Sus scrofa: one gene and its partners. The protein of the gene in region 6 purifies or fractionates together with the protein of the main gene of each other region. This does not show direct contact. Links are inferred from orthologs where the notes say so. Each region holds a gene or a part of one and is shown on either strand. Other genes may lie near its edges.

Region 1 (4,144 bases), on a different chromosome or scaffold from region 6:
ATTTCTTAATTAAAACTGCTGAGGAGTTCCTCTCGTGGCTCAGTGGTTAACGAATTCGACTAGGAACCATGAGGTTGCGAGTTCGATCCCTGGCCTTGCTCAGTGGGTTAAAGATCGGGCGTTGCCATGAGCTTGTGGTGTAGGTTGCAGATGCAGCTCGGATCCTGCATTGCTGTGGCTCTGGCGTAGGCTGGCAGCTATAGCTCTGATTAGACCCCTAGCCTGGGAACCTCCATATGCCGTGGGAGCAGCCCAAGAAATAATATAAAAAATTTAAAAAATTTAAAAAAAAACTGCTGAGTTTTGGTATAGTATCAAAGAACATGCACAATTATCTGAAAAAGGTATTAACCTATCTCTCCTTTTTCCAACTACATATCTATGGGAGGCCAGATTTCCTTCATATAATCCAACCAACATATTACAATAGATTGCACAGAGTAAATATGAAAATCCACCTGTCTTCTATTAAGTCAGCTTTTTTTTTTTTTCCCACTGGATTCTCAATAACGTTTAAGAGTATAAAGGGGTTCTGAGAATCACCTCCTTTGAACTCCAGGGCTTAATTCAAAATCAGAAAGCCTAGTAGAAAAAAGGCTCTATGAAACTGTTACACACAGAAGAAAACATTTACACACAGGCAATGGCCAGATTTAAGTTTTTACAACAGGTAACAAATCTAGATTCTAATTCTACAGCCTTACTTTTTCACCTCTCCTCTTCCTCACTCTTTTTCCTCTCAATATTTCTGCACTAAGATTACACTTGCTCATTAAATTACACCTATTCTATTTCTTACATTCTCGCTTTCCAGCAGGAATTTCAAAAACATCCAGCCTGTTTCTTCCTTTTTTTTTTTTTTTTTTTCTTTTTAGGGCCATACCTGTGGCCTATGGAAGTTACCAGACTAGGGGTCAAATCAGGGTTGCAGCTCCAGGCCTAAGCCACTAGCCAGGTCAACAAAGGATCCAGGCCCCAGCTGTGACTTATGCTGTACCTTGCAGCAACACTGGATCCTTAACCCATTGAGTGAGGCCAGGAATGGAACCTGCATCCTCGTGGACACTATGTGGGGTTCTTAACCCCTGAGCCACAAAGAGAACTCCCACCTGTTTCTTCTTAACTGGTCCAATTACATGGCCATGCAAAACATCTCCCCAACTTACCTCACCTTTCCAAGGGAGGATGGTATTATTTGATAAGCATATAATATTCCCTAATATTACATTTGTATAAAGCATAAAACCAAATAAATATGATTAAAACGCAGCCTTAACTTACTAGTCATTACACTTTTTTTTTAAAGTGGTACAAAACACAAAAGGCCATTCTAAAGAAATGCCTCATTTTTCAGTACAATTTATAATCACTGAGAGTTACTTTAGTTAAATAAAAAAGCATTAGTCACTTTAACCTAGCATATCAAATGTGTGCCCATATATTTTAAAAGGCTTTACCTATTCAATAATAAGTAAGAGTTTTTCAATACTTAAATGTTAGCCCTTTTGCACATACCTAAGTAAAAAAAAATCAGGTAAATTACAAGTAAAATTTGATTTCATTCCAATCAGATGTATTTGTTAATAATTAAATGTGCCTCTCCAACTCTCCTGTTCTAAAAATCCTCAATAAAGTGTCTTCAACTAATTCCCACGACTAGCTTTATTATATTAGACAAATAACCTCTATATTCCTCAGTTTCTCATCAATAAGGTGAAGGGTTTACGTTAGAAAACTACAAGGCCCTTTCTAAATCTAAAATTCTGAGCCAATTAAAAATGACTGAACTTCCAAAAACAACCGTCAATCAGTCCACTGGAGAAGGAAGACTTAACATGAATTTATGTTTAAATCTGAAACTTTTTAAACCAAGTTAATTTGGCTAGTTATCCACAGCTTTGATGAGTGGAACTTGACGTCCACGTGAAAACGTGAATTCAACATACTCCAGTGATTACATGCAGACTTACTATGGCTTTTCCTTTATCACCAAAACGGAAAAACACTTAGGGTCAGACTAAAATAATGACTGGTCCGATCTGAAAACTAAACTCTATTTCTAATCAAGGCACAAGGTGTTAGCTCTACCTGGCACTTTTCTCCTTATCCCCTTTAATTCCCAAGGCCAAACTACGGGTGACGAAGTCACCTCGGTTCAAAGTCTAGGGCTCTTTAGATCAGGAAAGGAATGAACCAAGAAGCCAAAGTACCCTGAAGCGGTGACGGGTGGGGTAGGGAAGGCAGATTGGCCCGAGCGGAGGGTGAGGTGCGAGGAGATGCCCGAACTGCTGCTTTTCACCCGGGACTCCCATCTTTCACACCTGATCCAGGGGAGCTGGGTGATGGGGTAGCCCAGGCCCAGGTAGAACTAAGCAGAGAGTGGTGGGTGAGAGGGTGACAGGTTCGGGGCTCAAGGCAGCCCCCGCCGGGCCCAGTCGCCGCCCAGCACACTCGCCTGCCCGAGGTACCAAGAACCGACACCACGCTTGAGACCTCCGCCCGCTGCCGACCCGCCGCCGCTCAAGCCGCCCCTCCCCCGCTTCCCACCGAACACCCGCGGCCCCCCAAGGGAGCCTAGAGGAGGCGGCCCTGAAGTCGAGCCTTACCACAAGGGCACCTGGTACAAGATCCGCGCCTGTCGCAGCCGCCGCCTTACAAAATCCGTCCTCTCCGCCGAGCCGAAGCAGCCGTGGCACCTCAATCAAGGCCGGCGCCGCCCCGCCCCCGGCCTCCGCGCAGAACCCTGCTGGACCAACATGGCTGGTGCCGCCTCTGCCACGTCAAAGGGAGGGGGAGGGGCGGGGCGAGAAGGGGAGAGGGGGAGGGGACGACCCTGGAGGCGGGGCGAACAGGCCAGAGAACAGCAGGGAAGGGTGCGGGACCCGGCCGGGCGGAGCAGCGCGTGGGGAGGGGATGGGAGGAGAAAGGGGAGGGGAAGAGGCGGGGACGGAGCCGAAGGGGCGTGGCAACCGTGACAAACCCGAAGGGACGCTGGACCCGCGCGGAACTGGAGCGCTAGGGTGGGGCTGCGCGGTGGCGCTCCTGTCCGCTCTGCCGGGAGCCACTGCGGATCCCACTCTCTGCAGGCCGCAAGGAGGTAGGAAGGAGCTCCTGTCGCTAGATCCTCAGTTCGCCGAGAGAAGTGGTGGAGTCCTGTGGGACACTCTCTCCTCTAGGTCCCTGGTTGGTTCCAAGAACCACAAGTTCGTTTTTTCACTTAGTGCAGCAAATGTTTACTGAACATCTGTCTACATTGGGCCAGACACAGTAGTGATGTTGGTGATATGACTCAGGCAAAACAGGCCAAAATCCCTGGTTTGCAAGAATTTGCATACTATTTATGTACTACTTAGGTATGCCTATTCATTTTACCACTTTCCTCCACTGCCTGTGTCACCTCTGCCCCTTACACACAGCCACACACACACTACAATGTTTCGCTGATTAATCTTGATGTGTTTTCTGCTTCTCACTCCACAAAAAGAATTGGGAAAAATGGGACAGGCAGAACAGGCTGGAAAGACATTCTAGCTTGGAGGTCTCAGGCAACCCCATCCTTCAGTGACTGGGTTCCTCACAAAATTGACTCTAGATATGACAACATCTAAAATCCTGCAAAGCTTAGCCCTATAAGCATTTTATGGAATAGAGAAAAAGAAGAATTTTTTTGTTCTTCAAAGCTTATATTTACAAGAAATAAGATACACGTCAAACATATATTTTTCTTTCTCTAAGCTTGTTTTGTAATGTAGAAGAGAATGAGTTTACTTGTCAAATTTTAGTACAATCCTGAAGAGGAAATGGGAATCAAAAACCAAAATTCTGGTAGGCCTGCAAATAAAGTGGGCTCCGGGTGCTTACCTTAATAAGGATTCTTAATTGAAAGTGCAGCAAGAAAATAGCTGTGGACGATGATATAAAGGTTGCATAAAGATGTTCACAAAAAGAAATATGGTCTAAGAATGAGTAGGGTAAATAGACATAGATGAGAGGATCCACAGGAGTCCTAGAATTCAATGAGGAATAAACCAAAGTATAGTACCTTTGGTAATTTCATTCATTTCATGATTCCCAGAAAAGTATCTTTGCCATTTAGGTCACTGAAGTCTAAGAAGTCATAATCCCTATGTTTTCATCTGAAAGA
Region 2 (3,500 bases), on a different chromosome or scaffold from region 6:
GTACTAAAAATACAGTTTTATCGATCTAAAGTACACAGAAAATTCATTTTACATTTCCGTCACCCAAAACAACAGCTTGTGGTCTCCTCCGATTGCACAGAGTGGGAGAGTTCTATGCCAGGAAAGGCCAGATCCAACAGCTACAGAACCAGTGAGGATGGGCTATAAAAATATGTGAAGTAAAGAAGCTCAATACATTATTGACATTAACAAATAAAAACTACCTTTCAAAAATAAGAAATATGATTGATAAATTATTTTTGCTTATGTGGAAATAGAATTAAAAAATGTGCTCCCTCATAGACGAAATACACATTATTTGTTTGCAGCTGGCTGGAATGAAGGATACAAATAAAATCTATGTATAATCGGTACAGTCCAGACTCAAACATTTTTGCAGTATAAACCAATCAAGCAAGCAAAATTATTGTACTTAAATGAAGGCGGAAATAAAATGCCTCTTACATGAATATTGGCAAAAAGTCTATTACCATTTGATTTAAACATCAAAAAATGCCATCTCCTTCCAATTTAAGCAGGTAACAGACATTCATAAATGTTTTTGGTTACACATTACAAATCCGGGGGCTATAAGTGGAAAAGTACAAAACAAATTTAAAAACACATATGCGGAGTTCCCATCGTGGCGCAGTGGTTAACGAATTCGACTAGGAACCATGAGGTTGCAGGTTCAGTCCCTGCCCTTGCTCAGTGGGTTAACGATCCGGCGTTGCCGTGAGCTGTGGTGTAGGTTGCAGACGCGGCTCGGATCCTGCGTTGCTGAGGCTCTGGCGTAGGCTGGCGGCTATAGCTCCGATTCAACCCCTGGCCTGGGAACCTCCATATGCCGCGGGAGCGGCCCAAGAAATAGCAACAACAACAACAACAACAACAAAAAAGACAAAAAAAAAAAAAACCACATATGCTACCAAACATCTCCACATTACCTGAGGGTGCCCTAAATGATGAATTTGAAACTGGCTTGCCATTTTGCCAGGATAACCAGTGGTTGCAAACAAGTTTTCATTAATCATGGACCATCTAAGAAAACATAAAGTATGAAAATTAGTACAGTATTCTACAGGTAACTATAAGCTTTTCTAAAATAGGTTATTTCACACCTGGGAGATAATAAGGACCTTCTTCCCCTTCTCACCCAATGACAAATGCAAGACTGAATTTCTTTACTGCCTTTTTCATTTTTTCTCTTTCTTAAAATATTTTAAATTATGAGTCTCTTGAGGGAGAGAGTTTTTAAAAAATAGGTTATTTCTTTTTTACACAAAAATAATTTTATAATCCTAAATTTGATAATATGGCTTTACAATGAGACTGAGAATTTAGGGAAGTGATCATGGGATACTTTGTTAAATTTCGCTAGGTTAGCAGTTCCTTTCTTATAACCAAAGGGCTGATGGTATTTATGACAGGAGATACAAACAAGGAATCAGAAAATATTTCACAGTATACTACATTAAAAAACCCCACACATTTAATGTTCTTATTGACATTTGTCTTAAAATTTGTGATAAACTCATGAGTTTAAACTCCCTGAAATGATGTAAACACTTAGAATACAAAGATGTTTAAGGCATTACAGACATTGGAATACAATGAATCAATGAATTAACAAGTGTTAATGGAGCTCCAGCCACAAGCCCAGCACTAAGAGGTGCAATGTGGAGCTGTAGGAGGGAAAAAAAAAGATTCCTTGACAAAAAAACAAACAACAAGACACAAACGGCTAAAGTCTACTTAATATTTTAGTGTGTGGCAGACATTATTAGTTGCTTGTCCAACAGCCATTCTACCTTTTTTTCTGCTAACTGAACCCCACCTATGTTCTGGCAGCATGTCTGACCCCAAGGGATGAGACATAATTGCTATAAGGCTAAGGCAGCCATCCCCAATTATGAGAGTGCTCCTCCTTCTCCTTTCAGGATAACGTGGTAAGAGGTGATGATGGTCAACTGGTGACTGTGAAGCAACAAGCCCAAAGCCTTGCCGCTGAGAATGGCAGAGGGAAAGTCTGAATTCTTAATGACATTGATGAGCTACTAAACAATCCTGAGACTACCTCCTTCAGACTTGGGTACAATAATTCACTGACTAAAATGCGTGTTTGCTTATATCTCTGAAATCAGGATGTACCTTATCATCTATGGCATTCTTACATTTAGTCGAATACATTTCTTTCTTAGGAGTACATAAACAGTAGTGTCCCCAGTTTCTACAATTTTATTGGGGGTATTTTAGATTTGATGAAATAGTGTATATAATAAAAGTTCTACTTTTTTTTGGTCTTTTTTTTGGTTTGTTTTTGGTTTTGTTTTTGCTTTTTAGGGCTGCACCCATGGCACATGGGGGTTCCCAGGTTAGGAGTCTAATCAGAGCTACTGCTGCTCAGAGCTACAGCTGCTGGCCTAGCCACAGCCACATCAACACCAGATCCAAGCCGAGTCTGCAACCTACACCACAGCTCGTGGCAACACTGGATCCTTAACCCACTGAGCGAGGCCAGGGATGGAACAGAAACCTCAGGGTTCCTATTTAGATTCGTTTCCACTGCGCTATGATGGGACCTCCCCCCCCCCTTTTTTTTTTCCTGTCTTTTTTAGGGCCGTACCTGCAGCATATGGAAGTTCCCAGGCTAGGGGTTGAATTGGAGCTGTAGCTGCCTTTCTATGCCACAGCCATAGCAATGCTAGATTCTTAACCCAGTGAATGAAGCCAGGGATAGAACCCACAACTTCATGGACAGTAGTCAGGTTCCTTACTGCTGAGCCACAACAGAACTCCTGTTCTACTGGTTTTTAGTCTCCGTTAGTAAATTTTCCTGAAGCTGAAAGCACAATAATGACTATACTATATGATGCAATATTATGTAAAAAATGAATGAAAAAGAACAAAGTACACAAGTATGTTAATTTAACTGAAAAAAGTTGCAGATATGTAATATTCGACATGTTTTCATTTAAAGAACAATAATGTAGTTCTTTACAAACATGCGTCCACCTATATTTTACATCTTTATCAGCACAAAAAATAAGAAAGCATATGCTCCCAATTGTTGGGGTGATATTGGTAGAGTGGCAACATGTTTTGTTTTATAAAATTTTTCCAAAAAAATTGGAAAAATCTTTCACCTAGACCAAAAGACAAAAGCAAAGTGTTAGGAGAGCCAAATATCCATACATTTATAGAACAATCAGGGGAAAAAAAAGAGAAAAAAATCAGTGCAAGAGAGGAATAGGAAAGTATTTCAGGAGTTGGCACAGCACAAAGTAACCAAACTCAAAAAGTCAAATTAAAACCCTAACAAAAATGGTACATTACCTGAATAAGCAGGCTCGATCCATGTGGACAGGTCTCTTATCTTGAGGGTAACTAAAAGACAGTAATTTACTTTTATGAATTACGTAGTGGTCTCAAGTAGAGGAACCTAAGTTTTAAAAGTTATTTTCTCTCTTAAGGACACAATGTCCAATATACTTAAACTG
Region 3 (4,216 bases), on a different chromosome or scaffold from region 6:
ATTTAATTGACATTTACGAAAAAAGGAAAGATTATTAAGTTCTCTGAGAGAACTCAAATACGTTTTTTAAAAAGTCTCAGCCCTCAAGGAGGTTACAAATCGAATTAGGAAACATGACAAACACATGAAAAGCTAAATAATCTATAATATATTATATATATATACATGCATATAATTAAAAATACCACGTGGCAGGATGTGATTATTTGCAAAGTCAGGGGCAAAGAAGTGGGCTACAAATCTGACCAGAGTGAGAGAGTATTACGAACTCTGGTCTTTCTGGTCTCCCGACCAGACGGCGACACTATATTTCGATTTAAAAAAAGAAAGTGACACAGCACTCGTCACCCTAAAATTATCATCAGAGAAAGGAATACAATAACTAAAGAGAATGGTGTAAAGAAACTTCCATACAAAGCTTCTAAAGCATACAGTAGCCCTGGAAAAAGTTAGAACATTCCACATATACAATCCTTTGCTGGATCCCAGTATCTCTAACGGCTCCTGAAATACATGTCTCTCGGGAAGAGCATCCCCTGATGATTTCTTCCTCCGCCCCCCACGAAGCTTTCCCTTGGACAGCCGCCCCAGAAATTTCTCCCAGCATCCGCAATGACAATACTCTCATCTTCCTCTCCCTCCCCTCGCCAGTATCAGACGGTGGCATCTCCCTCCAGAGGAAAAATCAGAGGGCGGGGGAGGCAGAATAGGAGAGAAAGCTTGCAGCTAGGTCGATTACGACAGAGCAGGAGGTGAGAAGACGCGGGGGTCGAGGGCGGGGTCCCCTCAGTTCCAGCCCAGTCTCCAGGAAACCTGGCCAACATCCCACTCCTCAGGACACGCCCCTCGCCGGACCCCGATCAGGGGGGGACGGACTCGAGTGACAGCCCCACCACCTGTGCCTCGCCCCTTCCCCCAGGCCCGCGGGGAGACGCCTGTCCCTACCCCACCAGCAGCGGCCCCTGGGTCTTTCTCTCCGGTTCCCGTCCACGTCCCCGAAGAGTGACAGGTCCCAGGGGAGGCAATCGCAAGCGCTTGCCATTTGGGACCGCTGGTGCAACCCTGCGCCTAAGCCCTCCAACAGGCACGGGGAGGAGGATAGGGACAGAACGTTCCGGGCGGCCCAGGGGGACCTGGTCCAGGCCTGGCCTTCCCCACTTGCCCCACACCGGGCGGGGGTGGCACTTACTGCGGAGGTTGTGGATTAGCTCCGAGTGGCTGGCGCCGCCGGATTTCCAGGCCATCGCTAGGCACACCCGGAGCAGGTACAGAACCACCTTCAGCGCGGCGACGGTGCCCAGCAGCTTCCCCAAGAGTGAGACCACCTCCCACACGGTCACCGCCCCGCTCGCGTCCCCGCTGTGGCCGCCGCTGTGACTGCCGTCGCCGCTGCTGCCGCCACTGCGCGCTCCCGGCATGCCCCGCGGCACGCATGCGCCTTGTGACGCCGCGCGGCCTCGGGTGCGGCCGGGGTGGGGCCGGAGGCGGGGATGGCTTGGTGCCCAGCCGCCCGCGTTAGGTCCCGTTGCGGCTGCCCGGGACTGGCGGGATGGCCCGGCTGAGTCAGCGCCACCGCCTCTGCTGCGTGGCCTTTCTGATGCCGCGGGCTGCGCAACGCCTCTTTGCTGGGTTTGCCCTGCGGCCAGGCGGGCGGGGTGGGCCCCGGCGTGGTCGGTGTCGCGTGCCTCACTACAGCTCTGGTCACCCAGCGCGGTGAAAGGATGGTAGGGCCGATCTGGTTCCGCAGCTGCCGGTGGCTCTGCAGTCGCCGCTGGGTCAGCTGCTGCAAGCGGCGGGGCTGCTCCTATAGCTGTCCAGGTTGTTAGACGGTGGGCTTTCTCCGTCCTGCCTCGCCCAACCCAATGAATGACTAATACATAGGTCAGTTAGATCCAGAGCTCCCTATGGTGGAGCTTGAATAACTGTAATAGAACTGGAAGGAAAAGGTCCTCTCTAACCCAAGTACTCCAGCCTTTGACTTGTGATAAGTAAGTTAGCGTTTGTGAGCAGAGACTTTGGGATCCTAGTTTGTTCTCAGCTGTAGAGCTTGAATTAGAAGAGTGGAAGAATACTGAGACATGGCGTGGGGGGTGGACTGTGGGGAATGCTGTGCTTCTCAGAACTTGTTAAAAATACTACAGTATCCTATGGCAAATGTGTTGTTCTCCCAACACAAGTGTGCATTTTCAGCTATTTAAGCCTCACAAATTCCACCGTTAGACTGGACACCAGCTTTCTTGCTATTAGCTGTGCAAGAGAATGAGTGAAAAGCTGACAAGGAACATTGCCTGTAGCATCCAACTCACTGACTTATAGTCAGAACCGAGAGTGGAAAAATCCAGTCATCATATCACTTAATACAATAAACTTTTAAGGAAGGAAATAAAGCTATGTCAAAACATCAGTGCCACTGTGTCAGCAACAATTTTCAAGCTTCTCACCAGTCCTTGGCAAATGTGACACTTATCTAACCCTAATCTGAAATATGTATTATTTCTTGGGATTCTGCAACAGTAAAGAAAAGTGTACTTCAATACTGGGGGCAAATTTTCAGTTCGGGACTCTAAATTTTCTATTTCATTATTAATTTCTTAATAATCTTGCAGTTAAAAGCAAAACACCAGTCAGTTTTCAATAAGAACCTGATAACTGTCTCCAAAGCTGACCTAGATGGATTGCATTTCCATGCGATGCTTCCACAAACTGGCTGTGAAATAGGACTACCAAGATCAGATAGACACAAAATCATGGCCCCATTTAAAGAAATAACCAACACAGTTATAGCTATAGTATAAAGGAGGTTTGTTTGGTTTTTTTTAAGATGAATATGTCCTATCTTTTGTAATAATAGGATTTACCTTCTAATTGGGGAGGTTTACATTTTTAAAAAAAGCTAGCAACAGGAAGCAAAATGTAAGTGCTCTTAGTGGTCTAGATATTAAGGGATATATTTATTTAGATCGTCTTGGGCTGAAGTAATAGGAAAAAAAAACTAGAGGAAGGAATTAATCCTTGAAAGATAGGGAAGATTCTGAGGCAGAAAGGAATTTTTTTTTAAGGGCGGAGGTAAGCAGTCGACGTTACATTTCAAAATCATCTTTAATTATATGCATAAATGAATTGAGGAAGGCTACAAAGGCAATGAGAGTCAAAATTATAACTGGGGTCTTCAGAATTCCAACTCGTTTGATAGTGTGTATTAAAAACCTTGAAGAGAAGGATTTGTTTGGGGGACAGGGAGAGAGAGGCTTTGAATAATAAATTGGTACGTTAATGGATGTACTTCCATGAGAATATAAGGATTTTGAATCTTTTCTATGCACGGTGAAATTCAAGACTTAATACTTAGGTGTGGCTATTAGAGCTTTTCTCTCGTTGACTCTTTTGCTTTTTGCTTTTTAATTTGTTATGCATTGCACAGTTACTGCAGAAATGCACCGCGTCACTGTTCACATGCTGACTTTGCAGGTTTGGAGCAGATCCTACAGCACGGGGACGGGCACACTCTTGCCTCTGTTCAGAGCCGCCTGGCTGAGGAAGAGCGTCCCAACTTCTTCCCACTTAGGGGCTGCTGGTTCTTTCCCCGCACTGGAGACGGAGGAAAATTGGCCCTCTGTAGCCACCGTCCTCTTGAGGTCCGGTCCAATCAAGGCTTAGCGGAAAGGGGCGGGACTGAGTGGCGCGCGCTGTGCTTCTACCTCTGCTTCTGCCTCTACCTCCCCCGGGTTGCTTTCAGCATGGAGGAAATTTATGCCAAGTTTGTGTCACAGAAAATCAGCAAGACCCGCTGGCGACCGCTATCTTCGGGGAGCCTGCAGACGGCGGAGACCTTCGCCACGGGCTCTTGGGACAATGAGGTACCCCTACTCCCGGGCCCCTGCCTCCTCTCTCCCTCCTAGAACTGCACCCCCGGCTGCCAGCGCGCGAACTCTCTCCGATTCTAGCTTCTCTCGCCCTTCTCTGTCCCCTGAATGCCTGTCTCATGCTCGGTTGCCCAGTATCTCAAAGCCATCGATGGTGTGTGTGTCTGAGTCTCGAATCTCGTTGTGTTTTCAAGGATTATCATCCCATTTGCCTAAAACGATTTTAAAACAAGGTTGATTGAAGGCAATGAAAATTTTAATTTCAGCGAGTTTGACGTGTATTTCGTCTTTGCTTTACAGGAAAATTATGTTTCACTGTGGTCTATTGGAGATTTGGGGAACGTGGACTCTGA
Region 4 (3,500 bases), on a different chromosome or scaffold from region 6:
CCAGGACTATCTACCCAAAGGTAGATAAAGGGTGTTTAACATTCAGCCAAATCTTCCAGAGATGGAACCACATGCCAAGGACCTCTGACTACCAGGAAAGAAAGCAATCAAGAGGCCAAACACTAGAATCACCCCAAAGAAGTTGGTGTTTCATAGTCATAGGTTGAGAGGCATGTGAGTTTGTAAGGGACCAGTGGTGGTTTTTTTGGTCTGTTTTTTAGGGCTGCACCCATGGCATATGGAGGTTCCCAGGGTAGGGGTCTAATTGGAGCTACAGCTGCCAGCCTACACCACAGCCACATCAGACCTGAGCTGCATTTGCGACCTACACCACAGCTCACAGCAACACAGGATCCTTTAACCCACCAAGTGACGCAAGGGATTGAACCTGAAACCTCATGGTTCCTAGTCGGATTCGTTTCTGCTGTGCCATGATGTGAATTCCAGAGCCAGTGTTTTGGGGGCCTTTTCTCATCTCCATTGTGGAACCAACAAATCAAAAGCTAAACTGACCTGGAGTTGCTGGGCATCGGGCTCTCCATGCGCTGGCCTTTCTGAGATCAGGTCTTCCAGGCATCTCATCAACTCATACGTTTGCTCTGCTGAAAAAATCACCTAGGGGAGAGGTGCTGCTTCGCTTAGCTGCTCCCCAACCACAGCTTGCCCTGCTCTGGGTATGAGTCCAAGTTGAGCCAGCCTTTTGTGCATCCCGTTTGAAGGAGTGTGCTTTGGAAATGCAACCCAGGGAGGGCAGAGCACGCCTATTCTCAGGCCCAGCTCTTCGTGACAGGGCCCTAGGCTGAGCATTGTCAGCAAACAGCTGCTCCATTTCAAATTAAGTAGTCTGCTTTGCAGAATCTATTTCCAGAGTTGGCACCCTGGGGGGACACGCACACAGACCCACTTAGGAGATGATGGATGTACATGCATCTGCAACAGCTACAGGATGAAAGGCATAGAAGAAAATCAAGGTGGACTCAGTATACCTGTTTCTGTTCCAAGAGGGGCAGGGCGTCTGTTAGTAGCGTCATCCAGAAAGACCGGGGGGCAATCTGGGACGTCATCAGTGACAGGAGAAGAGAAGCAGCGTCAACAAAACGCTTCTCCCCATATAACCGGTGGAACTCACGGTACTTTCCTATGGAGAATGAAAAAAACCAACAGGTCACCCTGGCCCTAACACAGACTAGCTATTCCACAGAGCAGGGAAATTCTTCCAGAGCAGCCTCCAAGCTCATGGACCGATGGAACCAAAAGGATTCAAAACACATGCTTAAGGAGTTCCCGTCGTGGCTCAGTGGTTAACGAATCCGACTAGGAACCATGAGGTTGCAGGTTCGGTCCCTGCCCTTGCTCAGTGAGTTAAGGATCCGGCATTGCCGTGAGCTGTGGTGTAGACTGCAGACATGGCTTGGATCTGCGTTGCTGTGGCGTAGGCCGGCGGCTACAGCTCTGATTAGACCCCTACCCTGGGAACCTCCATATGCTGTGGGAGCAGCCCAAGAAATGGCAAAAAAAAAAAACAAAAAAAAAAAAAACAAAAAAAAACCACAACACATGCTTAAAGGAGTTCTGCAGTGCAACCACAGGCTGGGTGGCCTAGGAATTTCTGCATGCCAAGGGCTTGGCCAAGAAACAAAAACAAACCACCACATGCTCACAAGGGGCTCCAAGGAGCCACATGCCAGAGAATATAAACATCAAATGTTTACTGATGTAGGAGTTCCCTTCGTGGCTCAGCGGATAATGAATCTCACCAATATCCACGAGGACGCAGGTTCGATCCCTGGCCTCGCTCAGTGGGTTAAGGATCTGGTGTTGCCGTGAGATGTGTAGGTCGCAGATGCGGCTTGGATCTGGCATTGCTATGGCTGTGGTGTAGGCTGGTGGCTCCAGCTCAAATTCGATCCCTAGCCTGGGATTCTCCACATGCTGGGGGTGTGGCCCTAAAAAAACAAAAACAAAAAATGTACTGATATAAATGAAAGAACATAGGGGGACAAAGGGACATCTTCCATTCAGAGGAATGCCAACTAAAACACAAGGAATGGTAGTCAGAAAACCACCAGTAGTTACTACAACTAGTGGGTCAAAGTTTGATGAGGAACAAGGCACTTAAATAACCCACAAATTATTAAAGGGAAAACCAGTGCTACGCAGAGGAGACCCCAGTGGCCACCACATTAACCAAGCCGTCACAGTGAACTCCACCAGTAAGGGGATAGACAGCTCAGAGAACACACCACCTCAGTGGAATTCCTGCCCAAATACACCATCTGCGCCTGCTCATGAGATAAACCCAAAGTGAGAACCTTCTACAAGAGCTGAACTGACTCTTCAAAAATGTCAAGGTTAAAGAAGCACCAAGAAAGGCAACAGACACTAGTAAGACATGAAAACTAAATGCACGAATCTGGACAAAATGAAGGGCGTCCCTGATGGAATCAGAACGTGGCCTGTGAAAGGGTGTTAGATCAGTGCTGAACGTCTTAATTTTGAGAACTGGTTAAAGAACTATTTTTTTTTGTCTCTTTAGAGCCGCATACCTGGAAGTTCCCAGGATAGGGGTCGAATCCGAGCTATAGCCACCAGCCTACACCACAGCCACAGCCAAGCCAGATCCGAGCCGAGTCTGCAATCTACACCAGAGCTCAGGGCAACATGGGATCCTTAACCCACTGAGCGAGGCCAGGGATCAAACCCGTATCCTCATGGGTACTGGTTGGATTTGTTACTGTTGAGCCACAATGGGAACTCCAGTAAGAGACTGTTCTTACTAAAGGAAACACATATGCAGGTGTTTATGGAGAAAGGAAAACAGTGTCTCCAACTTACTTTCAAGTTATTCCCAAAAAAGCCTGACTGAGAAATGAGGCCAGATATGTAACTGGTGAGTCTGGGTAAAGAGTATAGGGGAATTCCTTACTTCTTATACTATTTTCATAACTTTTCTCTAAGTTTGAAATTACCGGAAGATAAAATGTTACCAAAAAATATGCCTTGGGAGTTCGGTCGTGGCGCAGTGGTTAACGAACCTGACTAGGAACCATGAGGACGCAGGTGCAATTCCCTGGCCTCGCTCAGTGGGTTAAGGATCTGGCGTTGCCCTGAGCTGTGGTGTAGGTCACAGACATGGCTCGGATCTGGTGTTGCTGTGGTGTAGGCCGGCAGCTACAGCTCTGATTTGACCCCGAGCCTGGGAACCTCCATATGCTGTGGGTACGGCCCTATAAAGACAAACAACACAAAAATATGTGCTTTGCAGAGACTGGCACACGGGTCTATGTGTTTTGGCCTGGAGAAGTCTAGAACCATCCCTCCAATCTCTGTAACGGCCCACTTGTGCTGAAGGTCCAGGGGCCAGAGGCCAGACTCACCCAGGAACGTCAGTCGATCACTGAGCATCATGGCTGGCCCCAGGTTGTCAATGAGATCGAGGTCGGAAAAGCAGCCTCGCTCACAGTAATCCCTGAGGAACCTGCAAGGAAGGCCCGGCCTGG
Region 5 (3,500 bases), on a different chromosome or scaffold from region 6:
CACTGAAAGCACAAAAAAAAATCTGAAAAACAGACATGGTGTAGATTGTTCCCTGTATCATTCAGTGATCCTTCAATGAGAAGCCAGAGCAGAAATTTCTCTTGACCCCAAGGCCATGAAAAGCCTTCCCTTGCCAGAAAAAACTAAAGTGGCTTATCTAAGGGAAATATAAGATTTACAGTTATATATTGATTTTTTTCTTTTTTTTTTTTGGTTAAGAATCTCAGCCTACCTTAAATAACTACATGTTTTTGTATGTGGTCTAATTTTCCCTGTGACCTCCTCTTATTATTTTGCCTTTGACAGGATTTGTCTTTATATTTTATATACATATATAATAATAAAAACACACTATTTTCATTCTTATAAGTTGCCTTTAGCCTTTGGAAGATGGAATATCTCAAAGCTCTGAGTTTTAAAGGCTAATCACTCTATGGCATAATATTTAGATTTTTTTTCTTTAAGACAGTGGAAAAAATAAATTACGCTCACAATTTGTTTTAAAAATAATTAGAATAATGAAACTCACAGTGTGTCAACTGGAACATCAGTTGCTAAACACTGACTTCCCCACTTAATGAGGTAATAGGATAAGAGTAGGGGAGCTGTTCGGTGTAGTAGGTCTTGCTGAGCTTGAAAGAGCTGACCAGCTCCCAAAATCACCTGTACATGATGGGTGGGTGGGTGGGTGAAACAGTAAACAGCAATTAGCAATGGTAATTCTTAGGTTTAGGTATAGATAAAATAAAACAACACAGTTAAAAAGGGCATTCATAAAAGCAACATACCTACAAGCATACACAAAAGCAACACACCTATTACATTTTGGGGCGGCATATGGCAAAAACATCTACCCTAATAGCAGTACAAAACAATCAGAAAAAGCTCACAAGGTCATGTGAGCTGATGGTGAAACAGAGCAACAACAACATCAAGCTTAACTTTCATTAAATCTGTAAGTCCAGAACTCAAGAAGGGTAATAAGGAAATCTAAGTCCTTTCTGAAGCCTCTGGTCTTGGGTAAAAATAGATATTACCATCAGAGGAAAATGTGATAAGACCACCAAAGCCTCAAACATGTGGGTAACTTGGGACCAATCAATTCTAGTTCTTGGAATTCATCCTGGGGACATAGTCAAAGGAGTAAAGAAAGTTCTATCAATAAGAGGAAAACTGGCCACAACCTGGATGGCCACAGGATTGGTTGAATAAATTAAAATTGTACCAGGCAATTATTAAAAATAATGTTGTACAAAAATACTTGATAACACGTGAACGTGCTGGTGAGATTTGTAAAGCAAAGGAATAAAAATAACCAGATTACAAAAACGTAATTGGCATATGCATATATGGCATATGCAAATTTTGTAATTAAAATTTAGAAACTATCTGCAGAGAAAATGAGGGTATATACGAAAATGTAAATAGTGGCTAAACAGTTACAGATGAATTTTTATTTTCTTTTTGTTTATAAATACAGGATTACCTATAAAGATTCTACAATGAATATCTATTTCGTGTTTAGAAAACACTGACAAAGATTATAATTAAAAACAAAACAGAACAAAACCCAAACCTGAAGAAATGGAAGAGTCTACAAAGACTGAAAAGAACTAAGCAAGGGCTGCCCTGAGTGAGAGACTCTCAGGAAGGTTCCTGTTTCTCCCTGGTCGTCCTAAACAGATCATCTTCCTATTTTGTCCTTACTTTTACTTGAAATCCTGCCACCAGCAAGGTATTTGAGTAAATATATTCTGACTTGAAAAGTATATATACCTCTTGGGCTCCAAAAGCCTATCAGTTATTTATATATTAACATGAATTAGTTTAATCAGATTGCTTCCTTATGAGGCTCAGATAAAATTACTGAGTGAGAGACAAATGGGCCTTCTGCTGGTGGGCAGAAAGGGACATTTTTTTGAACATAAAACATTCATCGCTACTTGGCTTGTTGGCTAAGATCAAGTGTAGTATCTGTTCTTATCAGTTTAATATATGATACGTCCTCTATCTGAGGACAATATATTAAATGGATTTTTGGGGCTAGGAATTGGAACAGGAGCTTGCTCCATCCACTCTGCGCATCAATCTGGTATTGTAGTACTTCCAGGAACGGTGCACCCCCTCTGGGTGGGGGGGGGAGGGGAATTCAGCAGGGTGGGAAAGGACAGGAGGAAGGCAACAAGAATCTGGTGGCCTTAGAAGAGGATGGAAAGGAAGCACAGAAAGGAGCTGGGAGGATCCCTAAAACAGACTCTGTCATCTCAAAACTTCTTAGGGTAAATCCTATACTGCAGAAATAGAGTTTTTTTCTTCTTCCTTTCTTTTCTATACCAACATCCAACGTTGAACTAATAACACTAAACTTGGGAGCTCCCTAGTGGCTCAGTGGGTTAAGGACCCAGCACTGCAGGTTCGATCCCTGGCCCAGGAACATCCGGATGCCACAGGTGTGGCAAAACAAACAAACAAACAAAAAACCTCCTAAATCTGCACAGAGCTGACCTAGGAAAATTTCTCACTATTATACATACAAAGGTTAAGAGTAAAACAACCTGCTTCATAGATGTTCTTACTCTGTAATTGTAGGTTATTATGCGTACTCATTCTTAATTCGACATGCATTTTATAGAGTACTCACTATGGGCCAAGCCTGGGGGAGAGAGCAGTGAACAGAGACAGAAGTCTGTGCACAAAAAGCTGGCATTCTGCTATTGCGCCCATAGGTCTCGATGAGGATTTAGATTTCATAAGCTCTCCCCTGAGTAGTACTTACTGCATCTCCCAGCCTCATTAGTAGCTGCTGTAAGATCAACAGATCTCGGCAGATGAGGAAGCGAGTACTGGCAATCTTACACACATTTCTGCACACAATATACCCAGCTGTGCTACTACCATAGAGCTGGGAAAGATTCATTCGAATATTCAAAGGCTGAGCTGTAATTCAAAAAGAAAAAGTTAAATGGATTACTGTTTTCTCTAAATCAAATGAAAAAGGCATGTTTGTTGTTTTGTCATTTACCTGGATTGAATCCCTTTTCCATTTCCACTTCTGTTTCATAATCCATTTCCCGTATAACAAGTCCAATGGCATGGATTGGGTTCCGAATCTCTTGCAGTTTACTGCAAATATCCTCCATCACATTGTCTCTATGAGGAAATGAGAAAACTCCTATTACTACTGAGACCACATAAGACAGATTCTACACATCCTGTAAGCTAAATGCTCTACGAAACAGGAAAACCAACCACATAATAAAAGAGTGGAGATAATCATGCTAGCACGCAACATATTTTATTCCATGTAGCTAATTTTCCCTCTATTTTTCAGAAATGACAAACAAAATCAATGTGAGGAAAATGTTTTAAAATTTACAGCTTAGTTAATAGCCAGGCCATAACTTATGAGTCTGTTTCCAGACCCAAGTTAATGTGTGAGACTTTCTGGTTAAAAGCTGCAACACTGGAGTTCCTGTTGTGTCCCAGCAGATTAAGAACCC
Region 6 (4,073 bases):
TGACAGACTCTCATGTTCTAGGCAGTTTTTTGCATAACAGGGTTAATACCTAAGACTTTGAGAATTGATTCAAGTTTTTCCCGAGGCTGCTCCCTGCTCCACCACCTGTGACAGAGCCCAGTTTGTGGGGCGGGCACACAGCTGCTAGGGTCATCGCCTTCCTACCCATTCTCTGAGGTTCAGCTCAAATTATGCCTCCCCCCTCCCTTTTTTTTGGTCTTTTTGACTTTTCTAGGGCTGCACCTGTGGCATATGGAAGTTCCCAGGCTAGGGGTCTAATCAGAGCTGTAGCCGCCGGCCTACGCCAGAGCCACAGCAGTGTGGGATCTGAGCCGCGTCTGCAACCTATACCACAGCTCATGGCAACGCCAGATCCTTAACCCACTGAGCAAGGCCAGGGATTGAACCTGCAATCTCATCGTTCCTAGTTGGATTCGTTAACCACTGCATCACGACGGGAACTCCCTGCCTCCCCTCCTTGAAGATTCCCAGATTTCCCAACTGGCTGGCTTCCTCTGAATATCTTCAACACTAAATGTCTATGACACTTTATGCTGTTTCTTCTTACAACTAGAAGGTGAGCTGCCTGGAACCAGGGTCAGGTTCATCAGGAATTTTGAATGCTCTCAAATCACAGTGCTTGGCAACCAGAAGGAACTCAGTGGCTGTCTGCTGAATAAGTAAATGAACAAAAATGGACAGAGTTTTTTTTGTTGGTTTGTTTGTTTTGGTTTTCTTTTTATGCCCGCGGGTGCGGCATATGGAAGTTCCCAGGCTAGGGGTCCAATCAGAGCTGCAGCTACCAGCTTACACCACAGCCACGCCAGATCTGAGCTGTGTCTGTGACCCTACACCACAGCTCATGGAAATGCTGGATCCTTAACCCACTGAGTGGGGCCAGAGATCGAACCCACATCCTCATGGATACTAGCTGGGTTCTGAACCAGCTGAGCCACTATAGGAACACCTGGAACCAATATTTCTTACCATTTCACCTTTTTCCAGCAGAAGCCCTGCAGGTATAAAGTCTGACCTGACTTTTCCGAAAGTCAGGACCCTGGAAGAGGATGGCTGCAAAGCAGTTCAAAAGGTACACGTCAAGTAAGCAAGGGTTCTCTCATCCAAATCTAGATGCCCTATGCAGCAGGCCCTTGAGGTCTGCAAAGCCAAGTATGGAAGAGAGGCATCTCCCACATATGCCAAGTTGTCCTGGTTATAAAGTGTGCTCACGTGTGCACTGGGAAGGCCAAAGGGCAGAGCTGTCTGACAGACTAAGGAAATGAAAAAGCCCCGAGAGGATAAAGCACTTGTTCAAATGACTAAAGCTAGTTAAGGTGGAACTGGGAGAAGAGCTCCACCTGCTAACCTGGAGCCCACAGAGCTTCTTACCCGAAGAGGCTGCCTCTCCAGAACACAGAATCATCATTACGCCCAATTCCCTCAGTCAAGAGCTGAAGGCTAAGTAGGAGCAGGAAGAATGTTTACTGCTAGTTTCATACTAGGTCACCAAAGGACTTTGGAGATAACTAGCATTTATTCTGAATCACTCTCACCCACCAATCATGCTTCTGAACAAGTGTAGTTTTTTTTGTTGTTGTTTTTTAAGCTCCTTTTTTTTTTTTTTTAAAAAAAGCCCTTCCTCCTGAGCACCTCAAGTCGTCTGGTTTCATTAATAAGAGACGGCCCTCAAAAACAATCAGCTTTTCAGAATTAATGACTTAAAAACTCAATTAGAAAGAGCTGAGTGTCAGGGCATAAGAGACCCCCAACTCTACTCATCAGCTGAAGAATCAGAGGCCAAAAAACCCCCGAGTAATTTAAAACCTGGTCCCCTGCAGAGCAAGAACCAAAGCCAGCGTCCTGACTCCTGGGACCACCTGGGTTTCCTCAAAACCCCAGGCACGCCCATTTTCCTGAGAGCAATGTTTTACTGAACCCTCACTCTGTGCCAGGCTCAGGCTATTTGCTTCCATTCATTAGTTCCCGCTGGCGGTCATTCACTGGATGAATAAGTGCAGAGTCAATGTACACTGTGCACCACAGACGTTTAAACACCTGAGCCCCTGCCTCAGAGAGCCATTCAGTTCATCTTTACATCAGTTTCCTAAAATGCCCATCACACCTCCGGGCCCTGGGCCAGGCAGCTACTCCATAAACACCTCTGCTGGGAAGGGAGGAGGGGGAAAGTAATGGTTTCGAGGGTTTGAATCTCAGCTCTGCCACTCGCTGCTCAAAAAGCTTCACCTCCCTGAACCTCTAGCTTCCGTATTTGTCAAGGGTCGATAATAACAACACCGACTTCACGGAGCTGTTAGCCGACTGAGATTAGGAACACTGCTTGGAACCTACCAAGGGCTCAGGATACAGTACCTCCTAAGGTATTATGGGTTTTTTTTCCCATTGTTGGAGAACAAGAAGGAAAGCAAGGAGCAGGAGACGCAGCAGCAGCGGGGGCCGAAGCGTTCCGGAGGGTTCCGCGGCCTCCGCTTAGCCTTCCCCCGGCCTCTGCCTCCAAAACGTTCAGACCTGTAGGGCTGCGGCCCTCCAAACCCGAAGCGGTAACGGAGAGCTGAATGGCCCCAGTCCGGGGCTTCAACCTCCCTGCAACGAGGAATCCGAGAGGCCGCGGCCGAAAGCCCCCTCGGCGACTCTGTCCCCAGCACTCACCATGGTGGCAACAGCAGAGGTGGTGGCGGCTCCAGGCCTCGGACGTGGCAGGACCCGGCGGCGCCCGGGAACAGCTCACTTCCGGCGCCGGGCTGGCCGGCCTTCGGGCACCTAGAGGGAGCCTCCGGGTAGCAGCACGCTCCGCTCGCACAAAGGTTCCGGGCCTTTCAGGGGCGGTGCCAAGCTCTCCCCTGGCCCCACTCCTTCTCGGTGCAGATTGCGCAAGACGTAAAGGGGCGGGACTCTCCTTTCCACTGCGACCAGGATCTGGGGACTTGGAATTTGAAGGTCTAGTCTCTCTTCTCTCTGCCAACTCTTCCCTTTTCCTGAGATCCACACATTTAAGAAAAAGGACTCATACATAACTACACCTTCACCCACTTCTCTGCGGTTTTGGGTGCCACTGGCCTTATGTTGAACATTGTAGGGGGATTAATTTTTGAGGTAATGGGTAGACCGGTCCTAGTACTTCCTTGTTGTTGGTCTCTCCACAGACCCCAAGGTTGGGACCAGGGACAGAGAAGGCCAGGGAATAACCCCCTACCAGAGGCTGAGCCTCTCGCCAGGCCCTCTCCAAGCTGGAAGACACAGACCTCCAAGCTGCCTGTTCCTCACGGCTCTGGGATCCTGTGAGTCAGGCCCACCAGATAGATTTTCCAGGCAAGGAGAGATCTCAGCCAGGCTCAGGCAGCAAGAGCCCAGGAGACAACCCCCAGCTTCCCCAAACCCTAGGTCTCTGGCTTCCCACTGGCTGTACAGCTGGACAGAGCCTGGGATCTCCCCTCAGCCACACATGGTCTGGCAGCTCTGGGCTCCTCATGGCTTTAAGGAATCCAGTGACTTAGAATGGAGCCTAGGCACCAGTTGGGTGAGTCAGAATCACTCAGTTTCCTCTCCTGAAATTGGAAGGAAGAGTCCTAGCAGGAAACGGTCACTGTTGGAGGGATGAAGTTTAATTAAGGCTCAGAGTGCAATAGACCCAGACTATCAAGGGGCTTTGGAGAAGGGGTTGAGTAGTCGGGTCTTACAGAACTCAGGGCTGGACCTCGGAGCAGTAACTCCTCCCCCACCCCCACTTCAGTGTTCAAGACCCTTAATTTCCCTCTAATGGAGAAATATTGCAGGGAACAAAGGGGGAGGGCCTCTTGGGTCGCCTGTTTTTTAAGGGTAGGCTCTGGTCTCGGATCTGTAGCTGTATTACTGATTCTCTGGATGATGAAGTCATATTACTTCTTTCCGAGCCTCTCTTTCCTCAAGTTGAAAATGGGGACAATGACTCATTAGCTATAATACAAATACAATGCATGGAGCATAGTTGTTATTAAAGGAATTCCCTGGTGTGGAAAGATTGGGGATTTGGGACAAATGGTGCAACTCTATCTTATTCATTAAGGTATTTGCTGGTG
Region 7 (3,500 bases), on a different chromosome or scaffold from region 6:
TCATTTCCTTTTGTGGAGAAGTGGGAGCTCAAACCAAGTATGGGATAGGTGGACTCATGCTACCAGATGTCACCACTTTTAGGTCTATTCAGAGGACAGAGCCAAGAATTACACTTTTCAGACAACCACGGTTATATCTGACATCTGCAATTCAGGCTCCTTCTGTATTTATATCTCCTTTCTCCTTGGTTCTCAAAAATAACAATACACTCAATCATATCAATCCACAATATACACAAAATGGTTTCACTATTATGACACCAAAAAGTTTTGAATTCTGAAACCAATAGCTTCAAAATTACTACCACCTATAGCAAACCCACTAAGTAAACGTCAAGTTTCTTTGCAGTTCTGGTTCTTAGCATCTGAGTCACTAAAGTTGTAATCCAAATATTGTTCAAATCATTTGAATTTATTCTTCAGGAATTCTTACTTAAAGCACAAATTCCTTTTCTATAGAAAGGGAATCCTGACTATGAAAATGGGTAACTGTCTAAGGACACTGACCAGAAAGCACTCCCTCAAAGGAGAAAGGGCTCCTGTTTCTAGTGGGTCCCAGTAAGCGCTAATAGGAACCCATTCTAAGAGTACACTGACAGCATGACTCATGTGTAGTCTTCTGGTTCAAATACTGTCTTTTACCTTCAATTTTTTCTTGTAGTATATCTTCTGAAAAGTCTGAAGCTAATGCAGCCAATTTACTCAAACCGAGAAGGGTTTTTTTCTTTGCAAAGTAACGAGTTTCCATATTTGCCAAACCTAGAAGTGTTGCATGAGCCTATAATAAACAAAATATGAAAACTGTAGTAAGGTCCTGGATACTAACTCACATTTTGAAATGAAGGTTAAATACAACCCAAACTTGGTTCCCCTACCCCTAACCAAGCTCTATCAATGGAAGATCAAGGCACTATCAACAAACCTAAAAACAGAACAGTACCATAATTTGAGAGTGATTACACAATAAATATCAGTCACCCACACTAATCACTGGGAAATGAGACATAAATAAAACATTTGCTCTATAACAATTATATATTCACTTTGACACCCTATCAAGGATAGACTTTAATTCATGTACAGTTTTGACTGGTAATGTGAACATTTTTATTATAAGAAAAATTCATTACAAAAGAAGGCCAATGACTGCTATTTACATGTTAAAGTTTTTGTGATTTATTTCACTGTAATAATAGTCAAGTCATAATAGGTTTAATTCTTTTTTAACTGAGGTATAGCAAGTAATGGTAATACCATCATAAATGAAAAATACTTGTATCAAATTATGTGAAAGGAGACATACTTTAAAAAAAATCTGTAAGTAGTATTTAACTAGTATTCAACTATTCAAAAACCTAGTTAAAACTAAATTAAAAATTGCCTAAACCTACTCTATATAACTGAATCCTTCTTACCTTTTCTAATTCATGGCTGTTAATTTCGTGTAACCAGCTGAGATGTTCATGAGCTTGCAGAAAACTCGCCAACTGTCCATGCTGAGAAACGGGCTGAGATAATAATTTGCCCCGCTTTCCTTTCTCAAGATACCAACGGAAGAGAAAGTCGGAAAAATTCTACAAAGAAAAGAGCCAAGAATCCAATAATATTTAGTAATACAGTTTTAAAAAATACACTTCTGATAATAAATTTCTTCCAAAGGAAATTTTTTTTTTAGGGCCACACACATGGCACATGGAAGTCCTCAGGACTAGAGTTGTAGCTGCTGGCCTACACCATAGCTCACAGCAACGCTGGATCTTTCCCACTGAGCAAGGCCAGGAATCGAACCCACATCCTCATGGATACTAGTTGGGTTCATTACTGCTGAGCCACGACATGAACTCCTCTTCCAGAGATTTTAAACTCCAGAAGAGAAATCCTGTTTTAAACACAAATTTCCTACACTGTAGGGCTAATCACCTCATTTGCCTAATGAGAACATTCAGTCAGAAAGGGGTATTGCTGAAGTCTCAAGATCACAGACTCTAGATGTGTGTTGTCCAGCATGGAAGTCTCTGGTCACATGTAGCTGTTTAATCTAAAATGTAAAATCCATTTCCTCAGTCACACCAGCCACATTTCAAGTACTCGATGGCCACCTGTGGCCAGGAGCTCCCATCTGAGATAGCATCTATGAGCAAGATCTCCATTATCACAGAGTTCTACTGGGCAGTGCCGAGGCTCTATCACTCCATAATGAAAGGTTCTCCGTAGAACTGTGTGCCAGAGAGGCCCCAAACTCCAGCCAGCTTTCCATGCAGGATGTTTGCGGGATGCTAGAGTGCTATGAGAGGCTGGGCTGGAAGGAAGACAAAAATGTCTTGCAGTCTCATCGTATTTCAGAGATAGCCCCAGTAAAGGGGAGATTCTGCAAGAAACACACCAGTCCCACAAGAACTTTGAAACCAAAATGAAATAAATGTAACAAAGGGGGAGGCAGGATCAAGATGGCTGAGCAGTTAGGACGTGGCACTCCTTTTCTCCCACAAACACATTAAAAAAAAACCCAAACCTCAGAGTTCCAATTGTGGTGCAGAAGAAACCAATCCAAATAGTATCCATGAGGATGTGGGTTCAATCCCTGGCTTCACTCAGTGGGTTGGGGATCTGGCGTTGCCATGAACAGTGTGTAGGTTGCAGATGTGGCTTGGATCCTGCATTGCTGTGGCTGTAGTGTAGGCTGGCAGCTGTGTTCCCATTCCACCCCTAGCCTGGGAAATTCCACATGCCACAAGTACAGCCCTGAAAAGAAAAAAACAGTCTAATCTTTTTTGTTTATAGTGGTTTCCTGAATTTTATACAATGTTACTTGTTCTTTTTTTAGGGCCTCAGGTACAGCACATAGAAGTTTCCAGGCTAAGAGTTGAATCCCAGCTGCAGCTGCTGGCCTATAGCACAGGCACAGCAACACCAAATCCGAGCCATGTCTACACTGCGCCATGATGGGAACTCCAGTGGGAACTTTCTTTTTAAAAAGTAAGCATTAACAAAAAAATAGGGGAGTTCCTGTCATGGTTCAGTGGTTAACGAATCCAACTAGGAACCATGAGGTTGCAGGTTTGATCCCTGGCCTCGCTCAGTGGGTTAAGGATCCGGCGTTGCCGTAAGCTGTGGTGTAGGTCACAGATGTGGCTCAGATCCCAAGTTGCTGTGGCTGTGGCATAGGCCGGTGGCCACAGCTCCAATTCGATCCCTAGCACGCAGTCAAAAAAGGAAAACAAAACTCTTAGGTGTATGGAAATTTGAACTCTGTAAAAGTAGCTCCCAAGATCTTCTATTCAAATTCCAGAGCTCTACCAACACCCACATATACCCAAGGACTTTTCATTAGAACTGAAAACATAAAAACAGAAATAAAAGTCTCAGCGTATTTTTCAAAAGTCAAAGAATCTTTTAATAATATTTATATAGAGATTTTCTGCCAATTTACTAGGAAACATAATGTACAAATTAGTATTTACTTAACTGCTAAAAGACTGTACCATCTTTCAAAATCCCCA

What was found.
Region 1: the proteins of SEC13 (region 6) and SEC23A fractionate together in Homo sapiens (co-fractionation; 3 studies listed by BioGRID and IntAct, with this or other methods). This does not show direct contact. The link is inferred for Sus scrofa from reciprocal best matches to the Homo sapiens genes SEC13 and SEC23A.
Region 2: the proteins of SEC13 (region 6) and NUP37 purify together in Homo sapiens (affinity purification with mass spectrometry; 5 studies listed by BioGRID and IntAct, counting the BioPlex papers as one, with this or other methods). This does not show direct contact. The link is inferred for Sus scrofa from reciprocal best matches to the Homo sapiens genes SEC13 and NUP37.
Region 3: the proteins of SEC13 (region 6) and NUP43 purify together in Homo sapiens (affinity purification with mass spectrometry; 3 studies listed by BioGRID and IntAct, counting the BioPlex papers as one, with this or other methods). This does not show direct contact. The link is inferred for Sus scrofa from reciprocal best matches to the Homo sapiens genes SEC13 and NUP43.
Region 4: the proteins of SEC13 (region 6) and NUP85 purify together in Homo sapiens (affinity purification with mass spectrometry; 5 studies listed by BioGRID and IntAct, counting the BioPlex papers as one, with this or other methods). This does not show direct contact. The link is inferred for Sus scrofa from reciprocal best matches to the Homo sapiens genes SEC13 and NUP85.
Region 5: the proteins of SEC13 (region 6) and NUP160 purify together in Homo sapiens (affinity purification with mass spectrometry; 4 studies listed by BioGRID and IntAct, counting the BioPlex papers as one, with this or other methods). This does not show direct contact. The link is inferred for Sus scrofa from reciprocal best matches to the Homo sapiens genes SEC13 and NUP160.
Region 7: the proteins of SEC13 (region 6) and NUP133 purify together in Homo sapiens (affinity purification with mass spectrometry; 4 studies listed by BioGRID and IntAct, counting the BioPlex papers as one, with this or other methods). This does not show direct contact. The link is inferred for Sus scrofa from reciprocal best matches to the Homo sapiens genes SEC13 and NUP133.

The regions. Positions count from the first base shown.
Region 1 is NC_010449.5:61,112,416-61,116,559, reverse strand, and holds the start of SEC23A (protein transport protein Sec23A), read right to left. Parts: upstream 2,801-4,144; 5' UTR 2,607-2,800; exon of another isoform or gene 2,420-2,606; intron 2,348-2,419; exon of another isoform or gene 2,277-2,347; intron 1-2,276.
Region 2 is NC_010447.5:82,139,939-82,143,438, reverse strand, and holds part of NUP37 (nucleoporin Nup37), read right to left. Parts: intron 3,388-3,500; coding exon 3,337-3,387; intron 1,042-3,336; coding exon 948-1,041; intron 163-947; coding exon 49-162; 3' UTR 1-48. UniProt on the Homo sapiens protein: Component of the Nup107-160 subcomplex of the nuclear pore complex (NPC). The Nup107-160 subcomplex is required for the assembly of a functional NPC.
Region 3 is NC_010443.5:16,248,103-16,252,318, forward strand, and holds the start of NUP43 (nucleoporin Nup43), read left to right. Parts: upstream 1-1,416; coding exon 1,417-1,629; exon of another isoform or gene 1,630-3,737; coding exon of another isoform or gene 3,738-3,770; coding exon 3,771-3,857; intron 3,858-4,163; coding exon 4,164-4,216. Other genes in the region: PCMT1 (protein-L-isoaspartate(D-aspartate) O-methyltransferase), read right to left, coding at 1,190-1,418. UniProt on the Homo sapiens protein: Component of the Nup107-160 subcomplex of the nuclear pore complex (NPC). The Nup107-160 subcomplex is required for the assembly of a functional NPC.
Region 4 is NC_010454.4:6,072,973-6,076,472, forward strand, and holds part of NUP85 (nuclear pore complex protein Nup85), read right to left. Parts: intron 3,479-3,500; coding exon 3,378-3,478; intron 1,139-3,377; coding exon 987-1,138; intron 616-986; coding exon 514-615; intron 1-513. UniProt on the Homo sapiens protein: Essential component of the nuclear pore complex (NPC) that seems to be required for NPC assembly and maintenance. As part of the NPC Nup107-160 subcomplex plays a role in RNA export and in tethering NUP96/Nup98 and NUP153 to the nucleus.
Region 5 is NC_010444.4:14,867,556-14,871,055, reverse strand, and holds part of NUP160 (nuclear pore complex protein Nup160), read right to left. Parts: intron 3,151-3,500; coding exon 3,023-3,150; intron 2,938-3,022; coding exon 2,777-2,937; intron 664-2,776; coding exon 530-663; intron 1-529. UniProt on the Homo sapiens protein: Functions as a component of the nuclear pore complex (NPC). Involved in poly(A)+ RNA transport.
Region 6 is NC_010455.5:66,521,612-66,525,684, forward strand, and holds the start of SEC13 (protein SEC13 homolog), read right to left. Parts: upstream 2,801-4,073; 5' UTR 2,671-2,800; coding exon 2,668-2,670; intron 1-2,667. UniProt on the Homo sapiens protein: Functions as a component of the nuclear pore complex (NPC) and the COPII coat. At the endoplasmic reticulum, SEC13 is involved in the biogenesis of COPII-coated vesicles.
Region 7 is NC_010456.5:60,387,920-60,391,419, reverse strand, and holds part of NUP133 (nuclear pore complex protein Nup133), read right to left. Parts: intron 1,575-3,500; coding exon 1,416-1,574; intron 779-1,415; coding exon 643-778; intron 1-642. UniProt on the Homo sapiens protein: Involved in poly(A)+ RNA transport. Involved in nephrogenesis.